Linked DNA regions of Caenorhabditis elegans. The gene in region 1 interacts genetically with each later gene. Each region holds a gene or a part of one and is shown in the gene's direction. Other genes may lie near its edges.

Region 1 (6,039 bases):
AAGAGAGATTAAAGAAGATAAACTGAAAATAATTCAAAAAGCGAATAGAGAAATTCCTAAAATCTTGGTTTCAAGAATGTTATAGGAACCGAAAAATGTTTTAATTTATTACGCTCTCTTGGATATTAAAAATTAGAAGCAAGCCTGCTTCTTGTGATACCTGCAAAGTGAGTTCTAATTATTCAAAGTTTTGCTATTAATAAAAAAATTTGAAGCGATACTGCACATGCGAGCAGATTCATTTCATGCTTGTTGTCTAAACCTTCCACGTAGACAAAAATTTATCCGCCCGCCTGGTTTTTCGACCTAAAACATTAAAGTTGTTGTAGCAGAGTTGTAGAGTTGTAGCAGAAAATAATTTGCATGGCGAGAACAAGCATTTTGGAACAAGCAAGAAGATAAACATAATCATTTTGATAAACCAAAAAAAAATTAATGTTGCTATTATTTTTGAAATCGTGAACTGCTGATTAGAAAAATGAAAACAATAGACCAGGGGGGGGGGGTGAATTTACGTGAGTTCAAAAAACAGTTTGACTTTCCTCATTCCCAGCTTTGCTCTCATCAAAGTTCATAAACGGATCAATACCAGCAAAGGATGGCAAAATACTTTGGCGCCACAGATGCATTCAATGCAATTGTTCAAAAAGTCGACGAAACACTTATTCAAGCAGAATCCCATCTTCGTAATCTTCATGAAGATACAGTGGGAGCAAAGCCGTCTGATAGTTTGCCGGACCGCACTATCGTTCCGTCCCCGTGAGTTGTATTTGCTTTTTTTCTCAGTAATATTTAAAATAATGAGCATTGAACGAATAATAACTTTTGCTCTATTGCACTCTGCTGTACGTCAAGCGTAAGCTATTGGACGTTTTGCTATGAAAATGTTGATTCTAACTTAGTGTCTAAACCTTTTCATATAGATCTTCTCAATCGGAACGTTCATGCTCCCCGGAGCCTCGTATTGTTGCTCCTCAATTGTCTGCATACTCTGGATCATCCGCTGCGTCTTCTTCTTCCGTGAATCATATTGATGTGAAGAGCAAGTCGTATTTGGCATTGGATAAGAAGAAAGCACTGATCATGACTTCGCTCAAGTCAAAGAGAGTTATGAACGATAGTGATGTGACAAAAGTTCAGAAATTGTAGGTTTTTCTGAAATTATTCTGTTAGATCAATTTTATTTTTCAGGATCGATGACTTGTTCGGAAAACAAACTTCTTCGTCCTCATCTTCCATGTCCATCCTTCAGTTGTAGCAAATAGAGATCCTATGAACTGAATAAATAGATTCATTTTCCCGTGGTTTTTTTTTAATTAGTGAAAATCATCTTAGAAGTCACATTGACGAAATTCAACTGAAAATGTTTTAAAGAAAACAAAAAACTTCTATCTTACAAGTAGATCTTGTCTTTTTCGAATGAAGAATCAAAGTCATTCGCGAGAAAATAAGACGTTTGGAGATTTTGGAATATTTGAAGCCTGCTGAGAGATTGCAGAGAGTCAGAAAGGATAATCGCCAGTTGTCGCTAACATAATAAATAGTTAATTAGCTTCTTCAAAGTTTCGTATTTATAAAACATCATTTGTCTTTTTTGATAAAGCTAAAAAGTGTAGACATCATTTAAACCTTATGATAAAACAAAAAGACAACGCCTGACCGACAAAACGCTTAAAATCCATAAAATTGAAATTAAGTCAATATTGAAAATGTTATCTATGCAATGGATCATATGCCATTTCAGATTATTGATTTATATAATCTAATTTAACACTTTAAATGTGTAGTTTCCAGAGCCAATAGTTTTATCATCAGACATCGAAAAGTGTGTACTCTTCTCTTTCTTTTTTTTTTTTCGTATTCTTTCATTTCTGCTGGCCGCAGCTCACTTTCTATCGAATACCTCTTTTCGACTCATTATCAAAAATGATCACCGACAAAAATTTGTTTAGTCGTCTTCTGATTAAAAAGAATCCAATACGTATGCACTCTCCCTCATTCTCATTTTCTCTTATCACTTCGCTCTTTTTCACTCAATTTTTCATGTTTCAACTGTCATCTATGGCTTACTTTTTTTTGACTTTAATAGCGGGGGTAACTCACTTTTACTTTCCTGGTTACCGTTTTTCATTGATTTATTTTCTCTTAAAAATTATATTGTGAAAAGATTTTTATTCCAGAAAAACTTCTGGGAAAATCAGAAAATCTAGATCATCGATACCAAAGTTCAGAGCAAAAAGTTTTAATTGAATGGACAGAAAACGTGGAAGTATAGTTCCTGCAATTCATGTGAGGTTTTAAAATTCCATATAAATGTTGATCGGTCATAAATAATTATATTACTCATTGAGTATTAAAAAACATCACAAATGTTTTCAGAAAGCAGTTGCAGAAAGTCTTCGAGCGAACAGTGTTACTGTAGAAGAAAATGAGAGTGAAAGAGAGACAGAGACACAGACAAAAAGGAGAAGAAAGAAGCAAAGAAGCACTAGTTGTAGGTTTTTTAAAGTTTATAGTTTTTGAAACATAATTACCTTAAAAGAATTCATTAACAATTTTAATTAATTTTTAATTTTAATCCAAATGTGGAAACTCGGCAATCCGCCGCAACTTATTCAACAACATTAGCAACTTTAGCGCCAAATTTATTGTCTTGCAACTTTTAGATATAGTTAGCAACTTCTTTCCCGACTTTAGCATATTTTAAACCAAGTTTAGCCAACTTTTGCGCTTGGAATTTTTGAAGTTGCTAAAGTTGCTGGAAAGTTGCAGCGAGTTGCCCAGAAATGTGATAAAAATCATGCAATTTTATTCTGAAAAGGAATTTAAAAAAAACACCTCCAGAATAAATTTTCAATTTCAGCTGACAAAGCCCCCTTGAACTCAGCTCCAAGACATGTTCAGAAGTTTGATTGGAAGGATATGCTCCATTTGGCAGACATATCTGGAAGAAAAGTTTGAGTTTTGTCAAATGATCAAAATCTTTAAAAGTGTACTGTTCAGCGCGGAAACTCGACAACAAGCCATTCTGGACACGCAACTAGAGCTGGTTCTTTGGTAAGTGGCAGAAAGTTGATACAGTGGAACAGAAATATAAATATTGTCTATTTTTATTTTTAGAAGGGAAAAAACTGGATAGAATGTCGTCTTAAAATGAGACAATGTTCATATTTTGTCCCATCGCAACGATTTTCGGAACGATGTGGATGTGGTAAGGAAAGATCAAAGCATACAGAAGAAGTATTGGAAAGAAGTCAGAATAAAAATCATCCATTAAATCATTTAACTCTTCCTGGTATTCATGAAGTAGATACAACGGATGCAGATGCAGATGATAATGAGGTAATTATTTTGAATTAAAATTATTTTCCTGAAAGCTTGTTCAGGTAAACTTAACTCCTGGTCGTTGGTCAATTCAATCACACACAGAAATTGTACCAACTGATGCATATGGAAATATTGTATTCGAAGGTATGCTTTATCTTTCTGCCTATTCTTATGTTGTGAAAAAACTTTTTTCCAAATTATCTCAAATATTTAAAAATTGAAAAGTTAATCTAAAAATTCAGGAACTGCTCACCACGCACAATATGCTCGAATAAGTTTTGATTCGGATCCAAGAGATATTGTTCATTTAATGATGAAAGTTTGGAAACTTAAACCTCCAAAATTGATTATCACCATAAACGGCGGACTAACAAAGTTTGAGTGAGTAGTTTGAAGTTAACCTTGAAAACAAATTTTAATTTGTTTGATTATTTTCAGGAATATTAGACTCACTGGAAATATTAAACTTTCAATTTTCTCTTAAACACCATTCAAAGCAGTATATAAGAGTTGAACCTGATCTTTCGTTCTAAATTAATCTCCCTTAACACCTACTGAATGTACATAAGACTCTTATAATCTTTTCCGTTCCCAGGACATACCCCTCACCTTTTTTCTATCAATTACTTCTCTTCCAAATTCCTCACTGATACCTTTACCGTTTTTTACGTCACGAAGAATGCCACAATTCTCCGAGGTGGTTGGGGTTTGATGTGATAAAATTTGATCGAGAATAATGATATCACAGAGTGGAAGCATAAATGAAGATGATAATGATAAGATAATATTTGCAGTCTGCAACCGAAATTGGCACGAACGTTCCGAAAAGGAATCATGAAGATTGCAAAGTCAACTGATGCATGGATTATTACTTCTGGGTTGGATGAAGGAGTTGTAAAGCATTTGGATTCAGCATTACATGGTTAGAATAACTATAAAACTTCATAGGAATAATAAGAGCAAGTAGATTTAAAATGAAAAATGGGAGTACGGAACAGATCTCTAGCTTCTGGTCCAGATACTTCAAAAGTTTGGAAAAATTCAAAAAGTGTGCACACATTTTAAAAAAATTGTATAAATTTGCAAAAATCTCAGCTTTGGAATTTTGGTCTTTTGGGCTATTTTGGGTTATTCAATTGGACGTCCTCCTCGCCCACTCGATGTTCATACCGAGAGGCTCACTTTTTGGTGAATACATTTTCTATATTCAATAGAATTTTCCAGGCATTTGTTGATAGCATGATATGTGAAATTTTCAAGCATAAAACATCCTTAGAGCCTGTGACTTAAAATTATAAATTTTAAAATTTAGACCATGGAAACCATACATCAAAGAATCACGTGGTAGCTATTGGAATAGCTTCGTGGGGAATGTTGAAACAGAGAAGTCGATTTGTTGGAAAAGATTCAACAGTAACATATGCAACAAATGTGTTCAATAACACAAGATTGAAAGAACTCAATGATAATCATTCGTACTTTTTGTTTTCCGACAATGGAACCGTCAACCGGTAGATAATTCAAGTTTATTAGTAAATCACAGTATTATTCAGATATGGTGCTGAAATCATAATGCGAAAACGATTGGAAGCATATTTAGCTCAAGGCGACAAAAAGAGAAGTGCAATTCCATTAGTTTGTGTTGTACTGGAGGGAGGAGCATTCACTATCAAAATGGTTCATGATTATGTAACAACGTATGTTCTGTAAATTGTCGTGAATTATAAATTGCATTCCTCAAATTGTTTTAAAACAATCAACACGTCGGTAATAGAAGTAACATTTTTCAGTATTCCCCGTATACCCGTAATTGTTTGTGATGGAAGTGGTCGAGCAGCAGATATTCTGGCTTTTGCTCATCAAGCTGTGTCACAAAATGGGTTAGTTTTAGGTAAAAGTCGTACTTCATTGTTTCTAATATTTTTAGATTTTTATCCGACAATATCAGAAATCAGTTGGTAAACATTGTTCGAAGAATATTTGGATATGATCCGAAAACAGCTCAGAAATTAATCAAGCAGATTGTTGAATGCTCTACAAACAAGTCTTTGGTAATTTCCTGATTTGTTGAAACTTCTTCAACGTTTGTTTCAGATGACAATTTTTCGTTTGGGTGAATCATCGAGAGAAGATTTGGATCACGTAATCATGTCATGTCTTTTAAAAGGTCAAAACCTATCACCACCAGAACAACTTCAACTGGCTCTTGCTTGGAACAGAGCTGACATTGCTAGAACTGAAATCTTCGCAAATGGAACTGAATGGACTACTCAAGACTTGCACAATGCAATGATTGAAGCACTTTCCAATGATCGTATCGATTTCGTACATTTACTTCTTGAGAACGGAGTTTCTATGCAAAAGTTTTTAACTTACGGAAGGCTGGAGCATCTCTATAACACTGACAAAGGACCTCAAAATACTCTGAGAACTAATCTGTTAGTTGACTCAAAACATCACATAAAACTTGTCGAAGTTGGAAGATTAGTCGAGAACTTGATGGGAAATCTATACAAATCGAATTACACAAAGGAAGAATTCAAAAATCAATATTTTTTGTTCAACAATAGAAAGCAGGTTTGTCGAGTTTATAATGATTATAAACATTCCGATGATAACATTAGCTAAAATCTTGTGTTCATGATAGTTTGTATAATCTCTTTAAACATTTCACATCAAATCAATTTATTTATGAAACACTGCTTTCTTGAG
Region 2 (5,813 bases), 5.9 Mb from region 1:
AAGTCGATAATTAAAAGATTAGGAAAAATATGAACCTGAAATTGCATTTGCGGGCGGTGCAAAGCGTTTTCCAGTTTCTTATTTCCTGTTTCAACGACAACATGAAGAAAAGAGTTCAAAACTTAAATATTCAGTCGAGCCGTTTTTAATGTGCCAACATCAATGTATTGATCAATTTGAATTTAAAAGTTAAAAAAATGTAGAAGAAGTGAAACAATTTTTGATTATTTCAACAAAAAAACACACATTTTTTCGAGTTTTCAAAATTATAATGCTAAAAGAAAATTGGAAACAATTCGTTATGGTTTCAAAACTTAGAAAATGTTTTTTACAACTTTATTAACATTTAAAATTTTTTGTTTCTTTTGGAGTTTATGCAATTCTAAAATAAGAAATGATTACATAATTATATATTTTAATTTTTTAAATAAAAAAATATGAAACAGTAAAATTTTGTGAAATTTTTTTTTTAATATTTACATCATTTTCACTAAGAAATCCGTGTCTTATGAACCAGTAACCCCCGGAAATTTGCTTCACTGGTTATTGCTGAAATGTTTGAAATATTTATTTTATTTTGGAAGAAAAACTGTTTTGATTTTACTTTTTCAGCTTCACGCAAACACTGTGATTTTTTTTGAACATTTTTTTGAAAGAAAAAAGTTCTAAATTTTGATTTTGAAAAAAAAAACGCTTTTTTCAAACTGTAGTGTTCCCACAACAAGGCAGACACAAAAATGTTTTTCTTCTCTGTTTCACAAATTCTACAATAACTAATACTTCTTGGATTTGGGCGCATCTTTCTGATCCGTCAAAATAGTAATTTGGTCTGGGAGAACATTTTTTGAACGTTTTTCTTTAAAAACAATTTTGTGTATTTCTAAACATTTTTTAAAAATATTTTCTAAATAAAAAAAAAATTACACGTCGATTTCAACGTTGTAAACAAAGTCAAAACAGTTAAATATTGGTACAAAATCATTGAAATGTTGGCTTGAAGTTGCTTTAATACTCTGAAAACACTGTTTTTGCTAAAAAAAAAATAACTTCAGTGTAATTATATACATTCTTGATTGATTGAAGCTATAAATTTTTTTTTAATTTACAAATTGTTCAATAAAACTTTTTTTCCCTTTTCAACATAGTTTCAAAAAAAGTTTCAAAAATTGACCGGTCAATAGGTAATCTCCCTCATATATAGGCTCCCTCCTTGTTTGACCAGCACAAAGAACTCGGAATTCATCATATTTACAATCATTTAATAATAAGTCATGCGGCGGAGGCGGCAGAAAGTACACCCTATGTGAGTGTGTAAGTCAAAATGTGTATAGAAAATTGAATTTCTATGTTAAACCATTATTTAGTTTTTATTTTTTAAATCATATTCCGCGTTAGAATATGAAACAAATAATTAGGTAAATGTTATTTCTCGATGAACATTTTTTTTGATTTATCCACTTGTGAAACAAACTGTGTGAAACAATTTTTCAAAGTTATAAAAATACTGTTTCAAAACTGAGTTAGTTATAAAACATATGCAGTTTCACTACTATTTTGATTGAAAAATTTCAATATGGAGCCGTTTGAATATTATTCAACAATAATCTGTATTTTAAAAAATAAATATTTATTTTTCAAAATTAAAAAATGAAAACTCTGTTTCACATGTAGTTTCTTTTTTGGAAATTATATTACAGTTATTACAGTTAGAGAAGCATTAACATTTATTCAATGACTTCCGCTTCAAAAACAGTGACTGAAACAGTAGTTTTTGAAGTTAAAAATTAAAATTTTTCAAATTAGTTTTTTTGCTGAAAAACTTCACAACTATCTAATTTTTGGGTAGACATAATTTTTTATGCAACAGTGCATTTTTTCCTTTATATCATACGTTCCATTTTTTGAATATTTTTTCGTATGTTTCAAATTTCTGTTATCCGGATATATCCATAAACGTTTTTTATGAGGGCTTTTCAATGTAAAAGTCAAATAATGTCAAATGTAAAATTTTAAATTACTCAATTTAACTTTCGAATCCTCTTCCTCAAAATAAAAGAAAATAAAAAAAAATCGTAAAATTTGAGCAAAAAATTATGCTGTTTCAAGTTTAGTTTTTTTACTGAAAATAAAAAATTGCCTGACTTCCATCATATTTTTAGAGAGTATCATTTCTCCTATTCGCAGGTCATTGAAAATGTTCAAAAACTCCCAGTAACTAATGGAAGTGGCAGAGAAAATAGAAAAACTCGGCTACCAAATTGTGTTTCTCGGCCATGTGAAAAATTTAGTATATTTTCATCAACTCCATAGCCCCCTGCAGGAAAAATTTTGTACAGGGGCCCCTGTACAAAATTTTCGTGGTCACCAATTTTTTCGCGGCTACTTTTTATATTCTGTTTCAATGACTCTTCATATTCTCTCTCTCAATCTTCAAACCTTAATCTTTTGAATTTTCGTAATTTTCAGATTATCCCCCAACTCACCGCCTTATACGAGTCACCAGTGAATGTCTGCGTCATGTCTGCGTCTCCTCACTCTCTCGCTCTTCATATTAGGTCAATGCAACGTGACAGCTGCTCAGAATGGAGTCGACGATGAGGTGACCACGGTGACGGCGATATTGGATTCGGCGACAACGGCTGCTGCGGACAATTCTACAGTTCCGGTGAGTTTTTTCGGTGGAATAAGGACAATAAACAAAAGTTTGGTTTTTACTGGAACTTAAATTTTTTCTGAAACAGTGAATGTTTTTTATTTATTTTAAATCTGTTACAAGTTGGGTGATTCATTAATAAGTAATGTTTTTTGCGAAAAAAACACAAACAAAAATATAAGTCCTACCTTCATGCCTCAATGAGACCGCCATTAGGCGGCTGGTAGGTGCTGGACCTACCATGTCAGCAATGCACCTACTAACGCTGTCTGAATTAAAATATGAGATTTAGTTTAAAAAATTAACATATTTGTCTTGTAAACACAGTAACAGACAATTAAAATTTTCTTGAAAAATGTAATAGATTCAATCAAAATGGAAAACCAAATTTTACGGTTTCGAACATTGTTTTAACTAATCTTGAGCTCATATAAATTGTTGAAACAGTGGATTTTTGGGCCACCGAAAATTTCACATTCCAAATTTTCATTTAAAAAATCGACATCCTAAATTGTCTGGAACAAATTGGATTTCCGAGACAAACAAACTTTTCACAGTGTCTTCTTTCCTGAAATCGAAAAATAAACTGCTATAAAAATTATTTACCGTTTCCAACAGCCTAGAACAAAACAACAGTTAATTGTCCAGCAATTCCATTACCGTTGAATGCATTGTTTTTAGTTGTATATAATAAAACTTTTCTACAGCTATTTTATCAATGCAACTTTTTAATGTTCACTAATAAGCAATTGTGGAAGCAGTGTATTTTTTAAAATTAAAATCAAAAATTGGTTGCGCATTGGAGTCTCAAATAACCGAATAAAATGATAAATCATTCCGAAAGTTTTGATTTCTCAAAATTTTCAGTCAACATTTTGGTAATTTACCAAAATTTTGGACTTTTACAATAATTTTGGCCCCTAAATCTTTTAACTAAATAAACGCTATATGTTGGCTCAAAAAATTAGTTGAAACAGTGGATTTTTTTGGTTAAAAATTTCGAAACTGACGACTGCCAAAAAACTGTTATTCGAGTTTCTGCAATTCTTGACTTTCAATTTTCAGACCCAATCAGCGAGCAACAACAACACAAGTCAGAGCTCGAAAATTCCAACGATTTTTGGAATGAGAGTCGAACTTCCAGCTGACGATCCGTTTGGTTATGAGTGAGTTTTTAAAACAATCTTGCCAGGTGGCCGTGAAAGATTTTTAATAAAAAATAATTTATCATAAAACAGATAGCTTGGTTATTGTTCTGTTTGCGTAGAAAGTTGTTGTACAGAACAGTAATTCTGTTATTCATTTGTACATCTTGTTAATTCCTGTAATCTTACGAAAAACTAGTTATTTTCGAATTTTTTTTCTGTGTCAAAAATTTTTTTTTCTTAAATTGTTTTGGGCAAATGTTTGTTAAATCCATTCAAATTGAGATAATCAACTGTTAAACTGTACCCGGGACACAAATAGAAACAATAATCGGACGTTGATCAAGAAAACAGTTTGAAACTATTTTGAGTTGAGCTGAATTTTTTCTTATTTCAAATTTGACTGAAAAGCTCCTAGTTTGTATGCGAACATTTCATGCGCAACTCTTCATGATAATTAAGGATGTTTGGTACTGTCAAATTTTTAGAAAAAAATTATTTCAACATTAACAACCGTTGCAGAGTATTTCATCTTTTCTGACCATGTAAAAATGGTCTCAAAAAATTCAAAGTTCTCCTCTCCCGCAAATTTTATCAAAGGGTCCAATTTTTTCAAACCAATGTATTTTTTTGTTTCGTGGCGGGACCCAAAAATCTAAGGAAATTTCATGGTTTTATAAAACTAAAATTTTTGAGCAAACACGGCGTCTGTTCAGTAACTCCAGAAGAAGAGTTCAAAGTGGTAATCTATGGAAATCATTTGGACAAAATCCACCAAATCATCTGGACATTTACGAATAACTGCTCGGAGCCAGCCTACGTCATCGACGCGCTGAACCATTTCAAAGTGCACTTCAACCATAAAGCCACGTTTCATTTGACTTTGAAGCTTCTTCCAGAAATGGTTCATGCCTATAAAATGTGTGTGAAACCGAAGGTTGCACCAGGATCACCGCCGCTCGGGGAAATTTATCCGGTTCGTTGTAGTTCATGTTTTGAAAATAAGTTTTGACTGGAAATTTGAACTTCGCGCTAAATTTTTGGCATAATTTATTACTGTTTCATATTTTGCATAAAATTTGTGAACGTTATATACGGGACTTGGAGACGGATCCTATTGTTACACTTTTGCAAATTTTGCAGGCTGACAAAAAGTAGCAGTTTTCCAAATGAACTTTTCAAATCAATGTTTACAAAATCTGCTTAATTATGTAATTGTAGTGAAACGAAAATTTTTTAAATCAGCAATTTGATTAGTTTTCCAGTTTCTTAAATGGTTATTTTAAAACTGTGGAAATTGTTCAAATCACTTGAAGATTTCCGAACGTAACAACATACAAATTTTCAATCAACTTTCAAGGTTTAAAAATCGATTACAACAAAAATTGGAAAACAGAAAACGCCTCAAAATGTCTACTGTTTCAAGTTCTCCACATAAACTTCAAAACGATAATTTACAGCGCTCTGCAAATCACACTATCTGAAATAAAAAAAAATCCAAATTTCCAGCTCGACGACATCTCCACGTGGCTCACCACAGAACGTCCACCGAAAGAATATTTCCTTCCACTTCCACTTCAAATTGCATGCATTGGATTCCTTCTCTGTCTATCTGCACTTTTCTCAGGATTGACATTGGGCTTAATGTCCCTGACACCCCAAGAACTGGAGCTTGTCATTAAATCTGGAGCCATAAAAGAACAAAAGTGTGCAGCAAAGATCTTGCCGGTCCGAAAGAAAGGAAACCTTTTGCTATGCTCACTTTTACTGGGAAATGTCATTGTAAACTCGGCGATTTCTATTTTAATGGGTGAATTGACGACTGGAATCTATGCACTTATTGGTTCAACTATGGGAATTGTCATTTTCGGAGAGATTTTGCCACAGAGTATTTGTGTCAAGTTAGTTAACTTTTTTCTAAAAGTTTTTTTTCAGAAAATTTTTGAAACAGTGAGAAATTTAAATGCATTTAAAACTGATTCGTTAGTATAGTTTTTAGTAAACTTCTGTCTTTT

Evidence for each region. A genetic interaction does not mean that the proteins touch.
Region 2: of gtl-1 (region 1) and cnnm-1, changing one suppresses a phenotype caused by changing the other (phenotypic suppression), as found in Caenorhabditis elegans (one study listed by BioGRID).

The regions. Positions count from the first base shown.
Region 1 is NC_003282.8:11,255,677-11,261,715, reverse strand, and holds the start of gtl-1 (TRPM SLOG domain-containing protein), read left to right. Parts: upstream 1-2,180; 5' UTR 2,181-2,250; coding exon 2,251-2,289; intron 2,290-2,379; coding exon 2,380-2,494; intron 2,495-2,863; coding exon 2,864-2,955; intron 2,956-3,003; coding exon 3,004-3,057; intron 3,058-3,120; coding exon 3,121-3,342; intron 3,343-3,386; coding exon 3,387-3,471; intron 3,472-3,569; coding exon 3,570-3,708; intron 3,709-4,121; coding exon 4,122-4,249; intron 4,250-4,639; coding exon 4,640-4,838; intron 4,839-4,880; coding exon 4,881-5,024; intron 5,025-5,117; coding exon 5,118-5,207; intron 5,208-5,254; coding exon 5,255-5,378; intron 5,379-5,421; coding exon 5,422-5,904; intron 5,905-5,994; exon of another isoform or gene 5,995-6,012; coding exon of another isoform or gene 6,013-6,039. Other genes in the region: C05C12.5 (Phosphoprotein), read left to right, coding at 599-759, 924-1,145, 1,192-1,258; C05C12.1 (Protein kinase domain-containing protein), read right to left, coding at 6,013-6,039.
Region 2 is NC_003282.8:17,203,499-17,209,311, reverse strand, and holds the start of cnnm-1 (Metal transporter cnnm-1), read left to right. Parts: upstream 1-2,466; 5' UTR 2,467-2,506; coding exon 2,507-2,665; intron 2,666-2,675; exon of another isoform or gene 2,676-2,696; intron 2,697-3,034; exon of another isoform or gene 3,035-3,055; intron 3,056-3,092; exon of another isoform or gene 3,093-3,113; intron 3,114-3,304; exon of another isoform or gene 3,305-3,325; intron 3,326-3,347; exon of another isoform or gene 3,348-3,368; intron 3,369-3,395; exon of another isoform or gene 3,396-3,416; intron 3,417-3,564; exon of another isoform or gene 3,565-3,585; intron 3,586-3,718; coding exon 3,719-3,819; intron 3,820-4,206; exon of another isoform or gene 4,207-4,227; intron 4,228-4,231; exon of another isoform or gene 4,232-4,252; intron 4,253-4,494; coding exon 4,495-4,774; intron 4,775-4,899; exon of another isoform or gene 4,900-4,920; intron 4,921-4,960; exon of another isoform or gene 4,961-4,981; intron 4,982-5,261; exon of another isoform or gene 5,262-5,282; intron 5,283-5,307; coding exon 5,308-5,699; intron 5,700-5,801; exon of another isoform or gene 5,802-5,813. UniProt on the Caenorhabditis elegans protein: Probable metal transporter. Probably acts redundantly with the other metal transport proteins cnnm-2, cnnm-3, cnnm-4 and cnnm-5 to regulate Mg(2+) homeostasis. Promotes postembryonic gonad development by regulating Mg(2+) levels, probably via AMPK signaling.